2 linked regions of the Lonchura striata genome follow. The protein of the gene in region 1 interacts with the protein of each later gene in a biochemical or structural test. Links are inferred from orthologs where the notes say so. Each region holds a gene or a part of one and is shown on either strand. Other genes may lie near its edges. The genes, in order: SORBS1 and FLOT1.

The links.
Region 2: the proteins of SORBS1 (region 1) and FLOT1 form a complex in vitro, tested with the Homo sapiens proteins (2 studies listed by BioGRID). The link is inferred for Lonchura striata from reciprocal best matches to the Homo sapiens genes SORBS1 and FLOT1.

What each region holds. Positions count from the first base shown.
Region 1 is NC_134609.1:12,968,622-12,977,459, forward strand, and holds the start of SORBS1 (sorbin and SH3 domain-containing protein 1), read left to right. Parts: upstream 1-4,503; 5' UTR 4,504-6,374; coding exon 6,375-7,082; intron 7,083-7,670; coding exon 7,671-8,042; intron 8,043-8,838. UniProt on the Homo sapiens protein: Plays a role in tyrosine phosphorylation of CBL by linking CBL to the insulin receptor. Required for insulin-stimulated glucose transport. Involved in formation of actin stress fibers and focal adhesions.
Region 2 is NC_134631.1:1,365,616-1,374,531, reverse strand, and holds the start of FLOT1 (flotillin-1), read left to right. Parts: upstream 1-4,052; 5' UTR 4,053-4,174; coding exon 4,175-4,217; intron 4,218-4,805; coding exon 4,806-4,881; intron 4,882-4,960; coding exon 4,961-5,051; intron 5,052-6,519; coding exon 6,520-6,663; intron 6,664-7,993; coding exon 7,994-8,113; intron 8,114-8,657; coding exon 8,658-8,753; intron 8,754-8,916. Other genes in the region: class I histocompatibility antigen, F10 alpha chain, read left to right, coding at 622-894, 1,158-1,430, 1,510-1,611, 1,709-1,744, 1,864-1,896, 2,309-2,322. UniProt on the Homo sapiens protein: May act as a scaffolding protein within caveolar membranes, functionally participating in formation of caveolae or caveolae-like vesicles.

The sequences.
Region 1 (8,838 bases):
GCATAGGGTTGTAGGAAGACAGCTACTCTGCACTCTCTGTGGATGTTTATATCAGGCCTAGTGACTCCCAACATTGTGTCCATGCTTTACTGTTACAGCAGTCTTAAAACTGGGGTCTTGGAGCTTACATCTTTGTCCTGTGGTTTGAAAGTGAGTCCATAGAGTCCTTGGGCTCTGTGTTGTGCCATGTGGATGGGAATGATAGCCAGAAATGCACTCTTGGGCAAAAGGAATCTTGACCCTTCCTGAATCGTGCAAAAATCAGTCAGAGAAGTCAACTTCTATTTCACCAGGGATGTGGGTGACCTTGAGTTGTGACCAGCTGTGGTATATTTAAGGATGAAACACCTTTTGATATGTCTGGGTGGATAGTCTTTCTCCTCACAGAGGCTGCCTCAATGCTGCCTCAGTTAGCTAAGGGCTGAACTATAGGAAAGTAAGCTCTGATTTCTTGCTTACTCCATCTTTTTTATAGTCTTAAGTATGGATCTAAAATGATGCTTTTTGTGAAATCCCTAAAGCATTGGAAACCCATGTAAGGGTTTCAACAGTGGAGATGCCAGCACAGAGGGCTTTCAGGAAGAGACAGGGGTTTGACATTCATTGAGTTTCTTCTCTTACTGCCATTGTCCATCTAACATATTGATGTTTCCCCATATTGTGACCACACTGGCTGTAGTTTGCATGGTTTGCAACATCAGCCAAGGTGTTACTATGGTCTCTAGGCACTGTACTACTGTGGGTTTGGTGGGGCATTGCCTTGCTGAAATCTGACAGGGAATACTGATCTGTAAAAATGTGGGCAGTTGCCTGGACAATAAACAACAGCTTTTGTCCCCTCTGTCCATTCTGAAAGCATCATTTTTTGTTATAATAGCAGTTCCTGGGGAAGAGCTGCATCTGTCCCCATGCAGAGACAGCATGATCCTCCACCCATAAAAATAAAAATTATTGTGTTGTCACTTGTGTAGTGCAGCATGTGCTCAGTACCTTTCACTCTCCCTGTGCAGTCACGGTAGGGCTGGTACCTCTGTGTAGGTAAGTGAGGTCTGATGGTAGCTGCAGGTCACTAATAGTGCATGAGAAGAGGAGGTGATGTGTTTGTGTATGGAAATAGCCTAGAGAAACAAGAAACTTTTCAGGCTTATTATTTCCAGAAGTATCTTAAAGGAAACAACTCTCCAGAAAGATTTTTAAGTAGGAGGAGAAAGAGAGGTAGTTTTGAAGTACTGGTTTGTTATTACTTAATAGGATGACAGGAGGAGAAAACCCATATCATGGACTGAAATACACAAAGGTAAGCCTGCACAGAAGCTGTGCTGAACTGTGCCTCAGCAAGGATGCTGGCATGATCTGTTATCTGATCATGATCACAGGTTGATCTGAATAGGCATGTGTGAAATTTCCTTCTTTATAGGATTTGGGTTCCTGTGTCAGAAGGTGAAACACTGCAATGAAGTGGGGAGATGGCAGGGAGGTGACTTGCAGTGCCTTGCCTTTTGATCATATTCAGCATTGTTACAAGATTTTATTTTCCAGTGGTCAAAAGTTTTTTTTTTTCCTCTTTCAGTCCTCCACAAAAGGCATTTTTAAGCTTTGGCACACAAAGTGTGTGCATTATAACACTGTCACATACCTATAAAAGAGCTGTAGGTGTAATGGAAGACTGTCCTTTCTAGCACAGTATCTCTGTACAAAGTAGAACAAATAAAGCAAATGGACCTGTGACCTTTGGTTCAAACACTCCTTTTTCTTCCCTCCTTTGCACCAACTCAGAACTTAACTGCTACATTCATCGATTACATGAATATAAAACTGCTTTGATTTCTCAATGCTATAAATACAGAGCTAATCTTCATCTGCACAAACATTACTAGATTGATTCACCTGGAGACAACCATGCTAACATTACTCTAGAGCTCTGATGGCTCCTGATAGCTTTGCATCATCCCTTTCTATGTGTTTCTTCTGTGCATGTGCATTTCCTGTAGAAATGGATCCCACAAAAGTCTGCAGTGGAAAAGGAGCTGTAACTCTCCGGGCAACTCCATCCTATGAAGGGAATCGGAATATCACTTCACCATGTCCTCAGGATGCTGAGCAACCTGAAAGTAAGTGGTGGAAGGTTAACTGGCATCTGTTATTCATAGTAACCTCAAGACAGGTTAGTCCAGGATCTTGGGCTTGCTTTATAATTTTGCTTTAAAGCCCAGAATTCCATAGCATAGTTGGAAACCTCTTGCAAGGACCACACCAGTAGAGACACTGACTCCTAGTGCAGGTTTCATGACCGCTCAGTCATTGACTAAAGTTTGTCAGCAGCACCAAAAACTTTGTTCTTTTCTTTCTTCCCCTACCGCCCCCACTGCCCCCAGGGCAGCCTGTGTAATCACTTTTTACCCCAGGCATGAGGTGGAACAGAAAGAAGCTGAGTGGTGCTACTGCCACTGCAGCATTCAGCTGGGTTGCCAGGGAAGCTGGCATAGAGTCCTCCCAGGCAGACAGCGTCGCCACAGAGCTCTGCTGTCTTTCAGTAGCAGACGTGTAATTACTTAATTGTAGAAGACAGGCAAAGCACAGCAAACCTGGCCAGTGTCGTGGGTCTGGCAAAGAGGTGAACTCCCAAAGGCAAGACGCCATTAAGGGGGAGGGTGTAAAATGTGCTCTTGAAAGCAAAGCATACATCATTTCTGATTGTATTGTTGGAGAAAGGGCAAATCCATTAATCCTAGCCCTAATGTGCCACTTTCTACTCTCATACTCCTGTTCTGCTCCACCCATGACCTACCCTCTTTTTATGCTTGCCTTTCTCTGTTTCTTCACTCCTACCCCCTGCTGTTGCCTCTCTCCTTTCTGTTGATGACTTCATAAATTCCCAACAGCCTGAATAGCAATGGGTCCATTACTATAGAAATCAGTTCATTAATACTTCTTTTGCTTATTCTCTCAATCGCTTTATGAAATGTACTTTGGAGCTGGAAGAGCTTCATGTATATAACTTAAAAAGCAAAATGGGTACAGGGTGGGAGGAGCCCAGTGGGAAGCAGGTAAATATGTGATGAGACCACTGTAGGTAGCTGCAGGGACTGGCCTATAAAGTGATGTTGTATCTTATTACACCCTTCATGCACTTAGTCTGCAAAATTTGATCTGTTTGTTGGTAATCCTTTATCTCAATCACATATAACAATACTGTTAAGGATAGCTATGTCTTCATAATCTGTATACAGGGTTCCTAAATTTCCAGTAATTTGTGGTGTCTGGATGTCAAGCTGCAGCTTTAGAAAGTAGCTAGCTGGGCAGCCTTTTTGCCTCTGAAGTAAGAATGTCAATGAACAATTGTTTCTTCATTGCTCTGAATGAATTGCCTTGTGTTTACAAAGGTCAGAAACAAGGAGGACATCATGTTTAGGGCTGGTCTCTATGGTAATTACGCAGCCCTGTCAGAAAGCATTTATGTGTGAAATGAAGTAGCTTGACTCTTGACTTCAATTGGTACATGTTTTCTGGAAATGTAATGGTTTATTTTTTCCCCTCTTTCTTTTCTTCTATGTCTATCCTCCACCCCCACCTCCTCTGTCCCTCCTTTCTGTGAAACACTTAGGTCTGGAGCCAGAAAACCCAGAAACAGGTATAAACATTGGCTGCTTCTGTTGTTACTTCTGTTGCTTTATTGGAATTATTTCTTGTTGCCTGGGGGGGAAAAAAAAGAAAGTGGCGGGGAAGAGAAGAAAAGAGTCCCCTCCTTTCACTTATCCTGCTACGGGAGGGAATCTGTGATCTGAATTTTCTTTCCCCTCGCAGATGATTGGAGGTCATCGTCTAACACTGATGCCAATGGGGATGCCCAGCCATCTTCTCTGGCTGCCAAGGGTTATAGGAGTGTGCGTCCAAACCTTTCTTCAGACAGCAAGCCACAGGTAAGCCTTTTTTCTGTGACCCTGAGGTGATCATCTGGGTGCAAGCACTGAATTCATGATCAGGAGTCCTGGGTTGAACTCCAAACTTGACTGCAGATGGGTAAGTTGCTGTGCCTCAGCTTTTTATGCCTTTAAAATGGGGACAACACCGATGTCAGCAAAGTGTTGTGGAGCTCATGTATCCAGGCACACCACAGTGTTTCCTCGGTGAATAAAGGAGGAGGACAACGCTATTTGCAAGAAAAAAGGTGAAGTAATAATCTGTAATTATTTTGTATTTTATGCTGGTTTATTTCCTAGAAGTTGCTGCAGGCTGAAATCAGAGTTGCACCCTACATTAAAAATAAAATATTGGGGAAATGCCTTTCAGTTTTAAAGCTGCAACTGATAGAAGCCAACAAGGGAAAGATTATTTCTATCTGAAGGTAAATTGTTGAAGCCAATCTGCTGAAAGAATGCAGACTGACATTGTATGCATGCAATGTCATCTTTGTTTTTTTTTGGTTTTTTTTTTTTTTTTTTTTGGTTGTGGTTTTTTTTTTTTTGGTGGTTTTTTTTTTTGTTGTTTATTTTTGGTGGGGTTTTTTTTGTTTGTTTTGGGGTTTTTTTTGGGTGCTCAGTCTGCACAGAAGCAGTCTAGAAGCTGGTAAGAAAACCCTACATTAGAATCTGGATTCTTGTGTGAAGCATAGTCACTTTAAAGCCCAGTCCCATATCAGTGTGACTGCTCCCATCATCAGGGTCCCTTTAATAATGCTACAGACCAGGTACCATAAGTGAAAGTGGAAGAAGGAACAGCTCAAATGAAGGAGCAGCACCCTAAAGAGAGACACATTTCTGCTCAATACTTAGAGCTGTCCTGTAGTCCTTTCCTGATCTTGTTGATGAACAGAGTGAGTACTGGCATACATAATACTTGTTACAGAAGTCTCAAGAACTACTGGTCAAACTGAGCTGAAATGGAAGAAATTCCAAAAGGAATGAACCTGTTCAGAGGCAGAAGCCCTTCAGAACAGCACTAAGCAATCCACTTCTTCACTCCCTTATGCTTCAGGGAAAGGGTGAGAGGGGCAGAGGGGCAGCATGAGGACAGCAGAATTTGGAACAGCAGCTGTAATTTTATTAAATTTTTCTACATCTATATCCATATAACAAGAATAGGTACTTGCCACAACTTGTCATATATGGATGATTTTTAAAGGACATACCTTTCCAGATTTGAATGTTGCAAGCTGTTAAGGCATCTTCATTCTCTGGTTTGGACATTTTTAGCAGTGGTATAGGTAGCCTTTGCCCATAAAGGTATGTCAACAGGGTGTTTGTAAAACCTACTTTCACAGTCTCCAAATGGTTAATTTGCAAAAATCCAAGGAGCTGTTGTTCACCAGGTGGGTATTCTTTTCTTTCCAGTAGATCTTTGTTTTCAGCTACTGGCAAAAAAAGCAATAACTAAATTGAAAACTCTGTACTGTTATTTTGTCTCAAAACAGTTTGGCTTTCATAAAAAATTCACTGTAATTGGAGATGCAGTAGGTAGGTGATTTGGAGTTAGCAAGCTATATGTTGCCAAATACCAAAACCAGTAAAGCTTTTCTTATTGTTTACTAGAAGCAGGATTTCTCTCTTGACAATGTTGATTCTGGAGGCAAATTCTGATGATCTCAGTTCCTCAAGAAACTTTTAATTTTTCTGGTCTGCCTGAAAGCATTTTCAGGATGGAAAAATCCTAAAGAGAATTAAAGAACTGGCCTTTATAATGAAGAAATGCTCACTTTTTTACTTAGCCAGCTGTAGTAGGCTACTGCACTCACTTGATGTCTGCTTTCATTAGCATTACTGAAACTTGGCAATATTCATTTTTCAGCAGTGCACTTAACATGCAGAGATGGCCTAGAACTCTGAATTTGGCTTTGCAGTTCAAATGTCCCCAGTGCTGGGAAGTGTTTAGTTATGCAAGCATGAGACTGAATTTAGTTAGCCATGATGTTATATCTTGACTGAGGCTTTCCCAGTGGCATGGTGAGTGTTGCTGTGCAGGCCTCTTGAAAAAACACAGTAGTGAGAATTATTGAGCACAGAGAGAGAAACACGTAGGCAGGGACTTGAGGGCTGGGTTAAGTTTGTGTGCTGCAGTGGGCTGTGCTAAGAAAGAATGTGTGGGACGATGGATATGAGTGAGTTCTGCACTGGCCTTCCAGATACTGTATTTGCTTTTTATTCTTGCTGTATTAAAACCTGCTTAACCCAAGTCTAATGATCAAATTCGTTCTGAAAATTTAATTTTTTTCCTTCCTTTTCCTTTCATTTGATGCTGCTTCCTTTCTCCTTCCTACCTTCTTGACTCTGCCTGATCAGGCCCTTGCTCCTCCCCGTCCTCCTCTTCCCAAAGAGGAAAGCTTTGCATGGCGTCCTCGCACTGACACTAAAGTGACCAACCTGTTGCCAGTGCCCATCATGGACTGCGTGTACCTGAATGCACCCAAGCCTTACACACAGCGTGCATCACCAAACACCAGTGCACGCTGTTATTTGTCATCACCTACCCCCTACGGGGCTGTCCCCAGTGGGAAGCAAGGCTTGCCAGCAGGGCGTTCTGCCTCTTCAGGCCCCAAAGATGAGATGCATGCTGGGCAGCCACTCTTGGAAAGTCACTCCTCATCGGGTGCATCATCCATACAACGCAACCCTGTCAGGGCAGATCCCAGTAGTAAGGCTGGAATGAATTCCAGTCATGAGACGAAGGCGGATAAAAAGGTCAGCAAACTATATGTAGCTTGTTTATCTAACAGCACTTGCTCAGGCGCATCTCAAAATTCCACTGGCACCACACATGACCCAGCAGCCAGCACCAGTTTGGGTGCTGAGCTCACTCAGGCACCGGCCACCAACATTGTTCCCTCTGTAACAGACACTGAAAAGTCTCTTCCTGCTGCTCCTCCTCCTCCTATTCCTCCCAGGCCGTACTTTTACATTGTTCTCAGCAAAGACGCAGTTAGTTATGGTGCTGGCCAGCCCTCCCGGACTCAGTCATCAGCTCCGCAAGCTGTGAGGGACAGAGTGCTAGAGCCCCAGAGCACAGCTGCCACAGAGGACAGGATGAGAAAAGAGCCTTACCTTACTCAGCAGCGACAGCCACCATACAAGGCAATGGGACGCAGCATGGTACATGTTTTCTCCATAACCTTGTTTTCTTGCAGCTGAGCGAACAGTTCTTTAATTCGTTACAATGTTCCCTTAATGCTTTATTCCCCTCCTACCTTAATTTCTCAGCACCTGTTGTGCTGCCCTGAGTCTTGTGGTCTTTTACTTGATAATATTTAACACCCCATATATGTCCCCTCAGTGTTGATCTGTGTGTTCGTGTATGTGTGTGTGGTGTTTGTAGGGAGTTGGGTTGGTCTGGTGAGGATCTTTCTATTTTAGGGACATGTAAAAGAAACAAGCTCTGTAATGTATAATGGCTAGAGCTTCTCAAGTCATGGTGGATGCTGAGCTGTTCTTTGTTTGATTTAGCCTCGCTACACAGAACTGGAGAAGAGGGGTGGTGAGGGGGAATAAATATTTTTGTGGAAAAACGTTGTGTTCATAGAGGCCAGGGCTATAAACCTGAAGAAGTATGTCTCCTGAAGGAAAGAAGATCTTCTGGGGCTTTGTATCATTTTGGGTACATTCCTTGCATGACACGATATGGCTGCATTAGACTAAAGTAACAATCTCCCCCAATGCATAACAACACCTTGTTTCCAACAGGATGCCACTGCCACCACCTCAGCTCAGCCTGGAGTTATAGTAGTCCCCCTCCTTCAGGTTAATCCAGACAGACAACAAGAAGGCAGCTCCAGCACTCCACCACCGCCTCTGGTTCCTTTCGGGCAAGGCTCCGTATTCCCTGAGATTGTTTCTCCTGGCTCACCCTTGACTTTTCCAACTCTAGACGATTTTATTCCCCCACATCTCCAGAGGGGATCCCACCATAACCAAGCACCCTCCACATCTGGCACATTACCCTCTGTTTACCCGAAACTGCCATTCTTCTCATCACCACCTTCACTTGTCCCTCCAGTCACGGGGGCTTTGCACAGGGGCTTGAAGCCTGAAATCACTGGAGTCATCTCACATACAGTAAGCTTGCCAAGTACCCTCCTCGCCCTTTTCCTAAATTTGTATTCCTGGATTAAAATTACTTTCTCCTTGCAATACTAAACTTGAGGGAGGAGTGATGACTCACTCCCTGCCAGCAGCATGACAACTGAAACCATGTTTGCGTCCCGTACTAGTGCATGCAGTTTGCCTGCCTTGTGCAGCTTTGAACTTTCTTTTGACTTCTTGCAGCATTTGACTGTCTCCTTTTGTGCCCATTCTGCTGGGTGATGTACACCTTAAGAGTCTTCACAGGATTTGCTCAGAATAATGAATTCTGCATAAACTGAATAGCTGCAACTAACTGATTCTTTCAGGCTCTTTTTATAGCATCCTTAATTGTGTTTGAATAACATTTAAAGCAGCAACAGCAAGCCAGTTAAAGGTTAGGGTTGGCTTTCTGTTCCACTTGGAGCCACAGGACCATATGGTCTCCACACAAATCCCTGATAAAATCAGTGTAAGATTGCTGCCAGTATCCAATGACCTGCAAGTTGTAAGATCAGTTACTGTACTAAGAATCCTCCAAGCGTGGAGGTGCTATGCGATACATTAGGCAGAGAGTGTCTCATCATTTTGTAATTGCTTGTCTTTGAAAATTTTTAATAATTCAGTCCACAAGAGTTTGAACTTGGAATTTACTGTGTTCATCTTGAGTTAGATTTTGTTTCTCTTTAGGCTCATCACCTTTTAAAAGAGTCCTCAAAGACAAGAAGGAAAAGTGACTCTCAGTTAAAATTGCAGAGGAGGGCAAAAAGTACCCTCACCTCCTCGTGCT
Region 2 (8,916 bases), on another chromosome or scaffold:
GTGGGGCTGGGATGTGGATCTCTGGGGCTGGGATGTGGATCCATGGGGCTAGAGATGGGATCTGTGGGTCTGGGATGGGATCCATGGGGTTGGGATGTGGATCATGGGGTTGGGATGTGGATCTGTGGGGCTGGGATGGATCCGTGGGGCTGGGATAGGATCTATGGGGCTGGGATGTGGATCCATGGGGCAAGAGATGGGATCTGTGGGGCTGGGATGGGATCCATAGGGTTGGGATGTGGATCTGTGGGGCTGGGATGGGATCCATGGGGTTGGGATGTGGATCTGTGGGGCTGGGATGGGATCCGTGTTGTTGGGATAGGATCTATGGGGCTGGGATGTGGATCCATGGGGCTAGAGATGGGATCTGTGGGGCTGGGATGGGATCCATGGTGTTGGGATGAGGATCTGTGGGGCTGGGATGGGATCCGTGGGGCTGGGATAGGATCTGTAGGGCTGGGATGGGATCCGTGGGGTTGGGATGTGGATCCATGGGGATCCAGGGGGCTGGAATGAGGCTCTGTGGGTCTCCATCAGACTCGGGGGCTCCATAGGGCTGGGATGGGGCTCTGTGTGGCCGGGACACAATTCCATGGGTCTCTGTGGGTACAATCCCCCCAGGTCTCCACACACGGCTGCATGTTTATGGCTGTGACCTCCTGTCTGACGGGACTGTCCATGGATCCTACAAGGATGGCTACGACGGGCGGGATTTCATCTCCTTTGACCTGGGATCCGGGGGATTCGTGGCGGCCGACAGCGCTGCCGAGATCACCAGGAGACGCTGGGAGCAGGAGGAGGAGGCTGAGAGGTGGACGAATTACCTGAAGCACGTCTGCCCGGAATGGCTCCGGAAATACGTTGGATACGGGCAGAAGGAGCTGGAGCGCAAAGGTGGGAGCAGAATTCCTGCGGGGATTTGGGAATGGAGAACTTGGGAACACGGTAATTCCTGTGGAATTCCAAGGGTAGATCTCACCCCCATCCCATTCCCATGGAAATCCATGGTCAGATTTCACTCTCATCCCATTCCACTGGGAATTCCATGGGTACAGCTCACCCTAGTCCCATTCTAATGGGAATTCCATGGGCAGAGCTCACCCCAATGCCATTCCCGTGGAATTCCGTGCATGAATTCCGTAATTATCCCATTCCAGAGCCCCCTGATGTCCACGTGTCCGGAAAAGAGGAACATGGGACGCTGATCCTGTCCTGCCACGCGTACGGATTCTACCCCAACACCATTGCAGTCAGCTGGATGAAGGAGAATACAACCTTGAATCAGGAGACGGAGTGGGGCGGGATCGTTCCCAACAGCGACGGCACCTTCCACACCTGGGCCAGGATTGAGGCGCTGCCGGAGGAGCGGGAGCTGTACCGGTGCAGGGTGGAGCATCCCGGAATGCTGGAGCCCGGGATCTTCGCTTGGGGTGAGGCTGGGAATGTGGGAATTGGGAATTTGGAATTCCCAAATGGGGATTCCCGTCCTCACTATCCCACGTTTCCCAGAGCCGAAGTCTGGCAGCATTCTCACCGTGGCGGTCGCTGTGTCCATCATCGCTGCCATCCTTGTTGTCCTCATTGCAGTCGGTGTCTGGAAGCTCCAATCCGGTAACACATGGGATGGGGGTTGGGAAGGGGCACGGATCCAGCCACACTGTTCTGGGAATCCTGTGCCACCGACGCTGATCCCACTTTGTTTCCACAGGGAAGAGGGACAGGAGTGGATACAACGTGGCAGCCGGTGAGTTCCAGTGGCGGATCCAGCTCTGGGTCCCCTCTGTGTGGATCCCAGGATGGATCCTGGGGTTAATCCCAGTGTGTGATCCATGCTGGAATCTCATGGATCTTCTCTTTCTGCAGGAAAGGATGTGGGAATTAATGGCTCAGCTGCAGGTACAGAGCAGGATCAGGGTGGGATTCGAGGGGGATCAGGGCAGGATGGATGGACTGGGATCAGGGAAGAATTCTGGATCAGAGCAGGGGTCCAGAGTGGGATCAGGGGGAATTGTAGAGTGGAATTGGGGCTGGGTTCTGGAGTGGGATAATTTGTGATGGATGGAGCAGGATTGGGGCAGGAATGATGGAGTGGGATCAGGGAGAGATTCCAGTGCAGGATTGGGTGGGGTGGATGGAGCAGGATCAGGGCAGGATGGGATGGGATGGGATGGGATGCATGGAGCAGGATTGAGGTGGGATCAGGTGGGATTCTGGAGCAGGTCCCGCTCCCCATGGGCTCCAGCCACATCTGTCCTGTGGAATGGGGACAGGGACAGGGTGACACTGTGATCCTCTCTCATCCTGACAGGAATCACCGCCTGAGCGATCCATGGAGCTGCATCCAGCCTCTTCCCTCTTCCCAGGAAAGCTGAGAGTTGCCAGCAGAGCTCATCCCGCTGCTCCCACCCACCCCACAACTCTTGCTAACTGATCAATTTGCTGTTTTCTATTTCGCAGTCTTTTAGAGGGAAGAACCACAAATATTCCCAGTGGTTCAGTTCTGGTAGAAATTATCCCGCTTTGGGCAATAAATCCAGTTTGGGGCAATAAATCCTGTTTGGGGCAATAAATCCTGCTTGGGGCAATAAATCCTGTTTGGGGCAATAAATCCTGCTTGGGACAATAAATCCATGTTCCCTCCTCTCGTGTCCAGCTTTTCCTCTCTGGGACGCAGGAATAGGATTGGGAGGAATGGGAACAGGGATGGGGGCATCAGGAGCAGGATGGGGACACCAGGAATGGGAATGGGGACACCAGGAGTGGGTTAGGGACACCAGGAGTGGGAATGGGGACACCAGGAGTGGGAATGGGGACATCATGACTGGGATGGGGACACCAGGAGTGGGAATGGGGACACCAGGAGTGGGAATGGGGACATCATGACTGGGATGGGGACACCAGGAGTGGGATGGCGACACCAGGAGTGGGAATGGGGACACCAGGACTGGGATGGGGACACCAGGACTGGGATAGGGACACCAGGAGTGGGATAGGGACACCAGGAGCGGGTTAGTGACACCAGGAGCGGGATGGGGACACCAGGAGTGGGAATGGGGACATCATGACTGGGATGGGGACTTGCCAGCTATGCCTGAGTCCTTCTCCTGGCATTCATTTCCTGCTCCATGCCCAATGTCTGAGGTGTCCCCAGGAGGGTTTGGCCATGTTGGGTTCTTGGAGGGACAGTGGGATGGGGGGAGGGGTCAGACCAGGCCTCGCTGTCCCCAGTGGTCCTTGAGTGTCCCAAAATCTGGGCTCGGGATCTCAGAGAGGTTCCCTGGCCATGACCACGGCCATGACACGAGCACGAGATGGCTGTGAGAGTGACCATGAGCGACACAACCCTGAGATGACCATGGATGGCCATGGCCATGACACAACCACAACGCTGACCAAGATGATTTGGACCAAGAGATGACCATGGGTTGGCCATGGCACAACCATGGCCTTGAGGTGGCCCTGATGTGATGGTGGCCATGAGGTGACAATGAAGCGACAATGACATGAGAATGAGATGACCATAAGATGATCGGGACAATGAGACGACCACAGGATGAACATGACACCACCATGGCCATGAAATGATGAAGGCCTTGAGATGACCATGACTGTGGCCATGACAGGATCTTGACCAAGAGGTGACCGTGAGATGACCACAGCACACTGTGGCTATGTGGTGATCAAGACCATGAGATGACCATGACACCTCCATGGCTGTGAGATGACCGTAATGCGGTTATGGCCATGGGGTGACCATGAGCTGACCATGAACTGACCAGGAGCTGACCAGGAGCCGGCCATGGTCTGGAGCTCCCCGGACCCCGTCACTGCCCTCACCTCAGGTTCATCCCGAACTGAAATTGTTCATTTCCATGGGTAATACGGCAATCTGAGCAGGGCGCAGCCAATGGAGCGCCGGGGAATCAGTGACGTCACAAGTTGCCAGGCAGAACAGATCTCTCCTTCCCGCCGTTGGCACGGCAGCCAATGGGAAACCGCGCGTTCGGTGACGTCACCGCGCTAACGCGGAAGTAGCGAGCGCGGGGGCTGCCGGGACAGGGGCGGTGGACGTAGGTCGTGATCGATCCCGATCGATCCCATCGCTCCCAGCGATCACGGTCGGCAGCGATTGATCCCCATCGGTCCCATCGCCCCCCGGCTCTCCCCCGCCGCGATGTTCTTCACCTGCGGCCCCAACGAGGCCATGGTGGTGTCGGGTGAGTTCGGGGGGCCCGGGGGCTCCTGGGGTCCCCCAAAACTCCCGGGAACGCCCAGAATCCTCCCTAAACCTCCAGGGAACCCCCCCAAAACTCCCAGGAACCCCCCGAATTTCCCCCCAAACACTCCTGGGGACCCCCAGCATCCTCCCCCTCAAAATCTCCTGGGAACCCCCAAATCCCCCAAAATTTCCCAGGAACTCCCAGAAACCCCAAAAACTCCCGGAAAACCCCAAAATCCCCTCGAAGCCCTCCAGGGAACCCCTGGCATCCCTCCCCCAAAATTCCTGGGAACTCCCCCGGGACCCCCAAACCCACGCGGGGACTCCTTGGACCCCTCCCAACCCCCCCAACCCCTCCAGGGACCCCCAAACCCCCACCCCGAGGGTCTCCCCCAATCCATTCCCCCACCCCAGGCCTCCTGGGGTCCCTCCCCCAAATTTTCCTCCCAAATTCCCCTCCCAAAAATTCCTGGAGGTCTCCCCCAGACCCCTCCCCGTGATTCTTGGGGATGTCCCCGTGTCCTCCCCGGGGTTTTGGGGTCCCCCCGGGGTTTTGGGGTCCCCCCCAGCTCTCGGTGCCCCCCAGGTTTCTGCCGCAGCCCCCCGGTGATGGTGGCCGGGGGCCGGGTGTTGGTGATCCCCTGCCTGCAGCAGATCCAGCGGTGAGCAGGGGCTGGTGGGGTTTTCTGGGGTTCAGGGGGGATCCCCCGAGATTTGGGGTGACCCCCCCGGCCCCCCCAGGATCTCCCTGAACACGCTGACGCTGCCCGTGCGCAGTGAGAAGGTTTACACCCGCCACGGGGTGCCAATCTCCGTCACCGGCATCGCCCAGGTAACCCCAGAATGCTCCAAAAGCCACCTCAAAGTACCCCCAAAAATACCCCAAAAACATCCCAGAAATCGTCCCAAAAATCCTCTCCTGGATCTCCAAAATCCCCTATCGGAACTGCCAAAAATCCTCCAAAAATCCCCTCCTGGACTACCAAAAATACCCTAAAAATCCCCACCTTGGCTTCCTAAAGTCCCCACTTTGGAATCCCCAAAAATCCCTTCCTGGACACCCTAAAAAATCGCCCATCAAAACTCCAAAAATCTCCTTCTGGACCCACAAAAATCCCCCAAAAATACATTCAGGATGCCCCAAAATCCCCACCGGGATCTCCAGAATGTCCCTCAGAAACCCCAGTCCTCCCTGGTCCCCAACAGCCACTGGGACTCTGAACACCTCATTCAGAGCCCCCAAAAATCCACTCAGAACCCCAGAGTCACTTTGGGAACCCCAAGAATTCCTCTCAGGACCCCCAAAATTCCCTAGGAACTCCCATAATCCTCCCCCTGAACCCCAAATATCCCACACAGGTATCCCGAAAACCCCCTCGGGACCCTAAAACTCACACTCTGAGCACCTGAAATCTCCTTGGAGCCTTCCAGAAATGCTCCAGGACCCCCCAAATTCGCCCTGGCACCCCCAGATTTCCCCGGGAACCCCCAAATCCCCCCCGGGGCTCCCCTGCCCCAACCAACCTGGGCGGCGTTGCCCTTTTAATGGAGGTTGTGGTGGGGCCCACCTAAGGGTGTTCTTAAAGCGGCAATCGTGGTGCAAAACAAAGGCGGGAAGGGGAGGAGCCCTTTAAAGGGGGTTTGGAGTGGTGGGGCCCACCGAAAACATTTAAAGGGGTAAAAACACTCCTAAAAAGGGCATTTGGGGGTGGGGAATCCCTTGAAAGGAGCTCGAAGTTTGGGAGATCCCCAAACCCTGGGATGGGAGGGGGAATTCTCCTTAAAAAGGGGATTGGAGTGGTGGAACCCAAAAAATCTTTGAGAAGGGAAAAACTCTTAAAAAACCCTTAAAAAACCTATTAAAAACCTTACAAACTTTTTAAACACCCTTTAAAACACTTTAAAAAACCTTAAAAAACTAAAAGTTTGTGATGGGACAACCTCCCTAAATCCTTCTTAAAGGGGTCAAGGTCCAATCCTTGATCAGGCTTGGGGTGGTGGGGACCCCAAAAACCTATGGGGGGGGTCTTGACCTCCCTTATAAAGGGACTTGTGTTGGTGGGGACTCCTTTAAGAGGGGTAAGACACCCCCAAAAATGGGCTGGGGTTGGTGGGGACCCCCAAGCCCCCTCCAAGAGGATGAGACCCCTTAAAATGGTCACGCCCTGGTGGTCCCCACCGTCAAGCAACCAGCCTCTTAAAAGGGCAATGCCATACCTACACCTTAAAAGGGCCGTGGCAATTTTGGGGGATACCAGGGGCGGCTGGGGGATCCCCAGGTGATCCCAGTCCCCCCTCAGGTGAAGATCCAGGGGCAGAACAAGGAGATGCTCGCAGCTGCCTGTCAGATGTTCCTGGGAAAATCGGAGAGCGAGATCGGCCAGATCGCCCTGGAGACGCTGGAGGGCCACCAGCGTGCCATCATGGCCCACATGACTGTGGAGGTGGGGCTGGGGGGAGCCATGCCCATTTTGGAGAAGCCACGCCCCTTCCAGAACAGCCACACCCACTTGGGAGCCAACCAAACACTCCCCACTTGGGATGAGATGTGTCCCTTTTAAGAAGGCCCAGATCTCAGGAGCCACGCCCCTGAGGTGGCCGTGCCCACCTGGATGGACACACCCCCTCAGGGACAGGTCACCCGTTCCCTTTGGGGTGGGATGTGGCCTTTTAAGAGACCTCTCCCCCATTTGGCCCATAAGCTCCACCCCTTGAAAGGCCCCACCCCTGGAGGAGGCCACACCCACTGGTGAAGCCACACCCCAAAGATGCCACTCTTGTTAAAGCCCCACCCACCTGCTCACAAATCTCCTTCCCTGGCCCCACCCCCTTTAAAGCCACACCCACACCTGCCCCATCCCTGTCATGTCCCGCCTGCCATCTTGGCTCTGTCCCAGTATAAACCCCACTCCATCTCACAGCCACACCCACCAGCCCCCACCCCATGACTCAAGCCACACTCCCCAGGCCAACCCACACCCCTGCCTTAATCCTGACCCCCCCCTCAGTTTGGGCCATGCCCACCTGGCTCCACCCAGTACAAACCACACCCATGGCTCCACCCCTTGCACAAGCCACACCCAACTCGCACCACCTCCTTGCTCCAGCTATGCCCGTTTTGGGTCAAGCCACACCCGTTAAACTGAGCCATTCCCCTCACTCCACCCTGGGGTCAAGCCACGCCCCTTTGGCTCATTCCAGGCCCCAAAGACTCAAGCCACATCCCCAATCCCAAGCCATGCCCACCTGGCTCCACCCCTTGGTTCAAGCCATGCCCATTTTGTAGCTAGCCATGCCCACTGGGTCAAACCACGCCCCCCTATCCCACACCTTTGTACAAGCCACACCCCCAAACAAAGCCACAGTGATCTGGCTCCACCCATTGTCCAAAGCCACGCCCACTTGGCTCAAGCCACACCCCCAGGAAAAAGCCCCGCCCACCTGGCACCTTTAGATAAGCCACGCCCACCAGCCCCGTGCCGTTTCTCTGCTAAGCCCACCTTATTTTGTCCCTGCCCCTTTGAGCCCCACCCCACTAAACCCCACCCAGTTTGAGCCTCAAGCTGTTTAGCCCTGCCCCACTGAGCCCCACCCTGCTAAACCCCACCCCTCTGGGCTGCACCCTGCTAATCCTCGCCCAACTTGAGCCCCACCTTACTGAGCTGCTCTCCCTTGAGCCCTGCCCAGCTTAAACCCCACTCTTGGGCCCTGCCCAGCCAGGCCCTGCCCCCATCTGAGCCCCGCCTCACTAAGCCCCGCCCCGGCCCCGCCCAGGAGATCTACAAGGACCGGCAGAAGTTCTCGGATCAGGTTTTCCGCGTGGCCTCCTCCGACCTGGTGAACATGGGCATCTCCGTGGTCAGCTACACCCTCAAGGATGTGCACGACGAGCAGGTGACACCTGGCATGCTTGGGGACAGCTGGGGACACCTGGGCATGGCTGGGGACACCTGAGCTATTGCTGGGGCACCTGGGCACAGCTGGGGACAGCCAGGATACACCTTAGATGCAGCTGGGGACAGCTGGGGAGAGCTGGGCACACCTGGGGGGCAGCTGGAGATAGCTGAGCACAGCTGGGGCACCACCAAGACACACTCAGGACACACCTGGGACACACTTGAAGACGCCCAGGGACAAGATGGCAACATTGGGACACACCTGGGCACAACTTGGGGCACCTAAGACACTCCTGCGATTTGTCTGGGGGGGATGGGGTGACACAGGTGTGACAGAGGTGTGACACAGGTGTGACAAGGAGGTGACACAGGTGTCTCTGTGCAGGATTATCTGTGCTCCCTCCCTCAGGAAGGGCCATATGGCGCAGGTGCGGGGGTGACAGAGTGACACAGGTGTGACATGGAGGTGGTGTGGGTGTGACAGAGGGGTGACACAGGTGACAGGGAGGTGCCACAGGTGTGACAGGGGTGTCCCCGTGCAGGATTACCTGCGCTCCCTTGGGAAGGGCCGCACGGCGCAGGTGCAGCGCGACGCCCGCGTGGGAGAGGCCGAGGCCAAACGCGATGCCGGGATCCGCGTGAGTGACACTGGGGACATCTAGGGACACACCTGGGAACACTGGGGATATTGGGAACATCTGGGAACACCTGGGGGAAGCTGGGTCACACCCCCAATATTCCCAGTACTCCCAGTACTTTCCAGTGCTCTCCCTGTGGCCCCAGTTCATCCCAGTGCTCCCA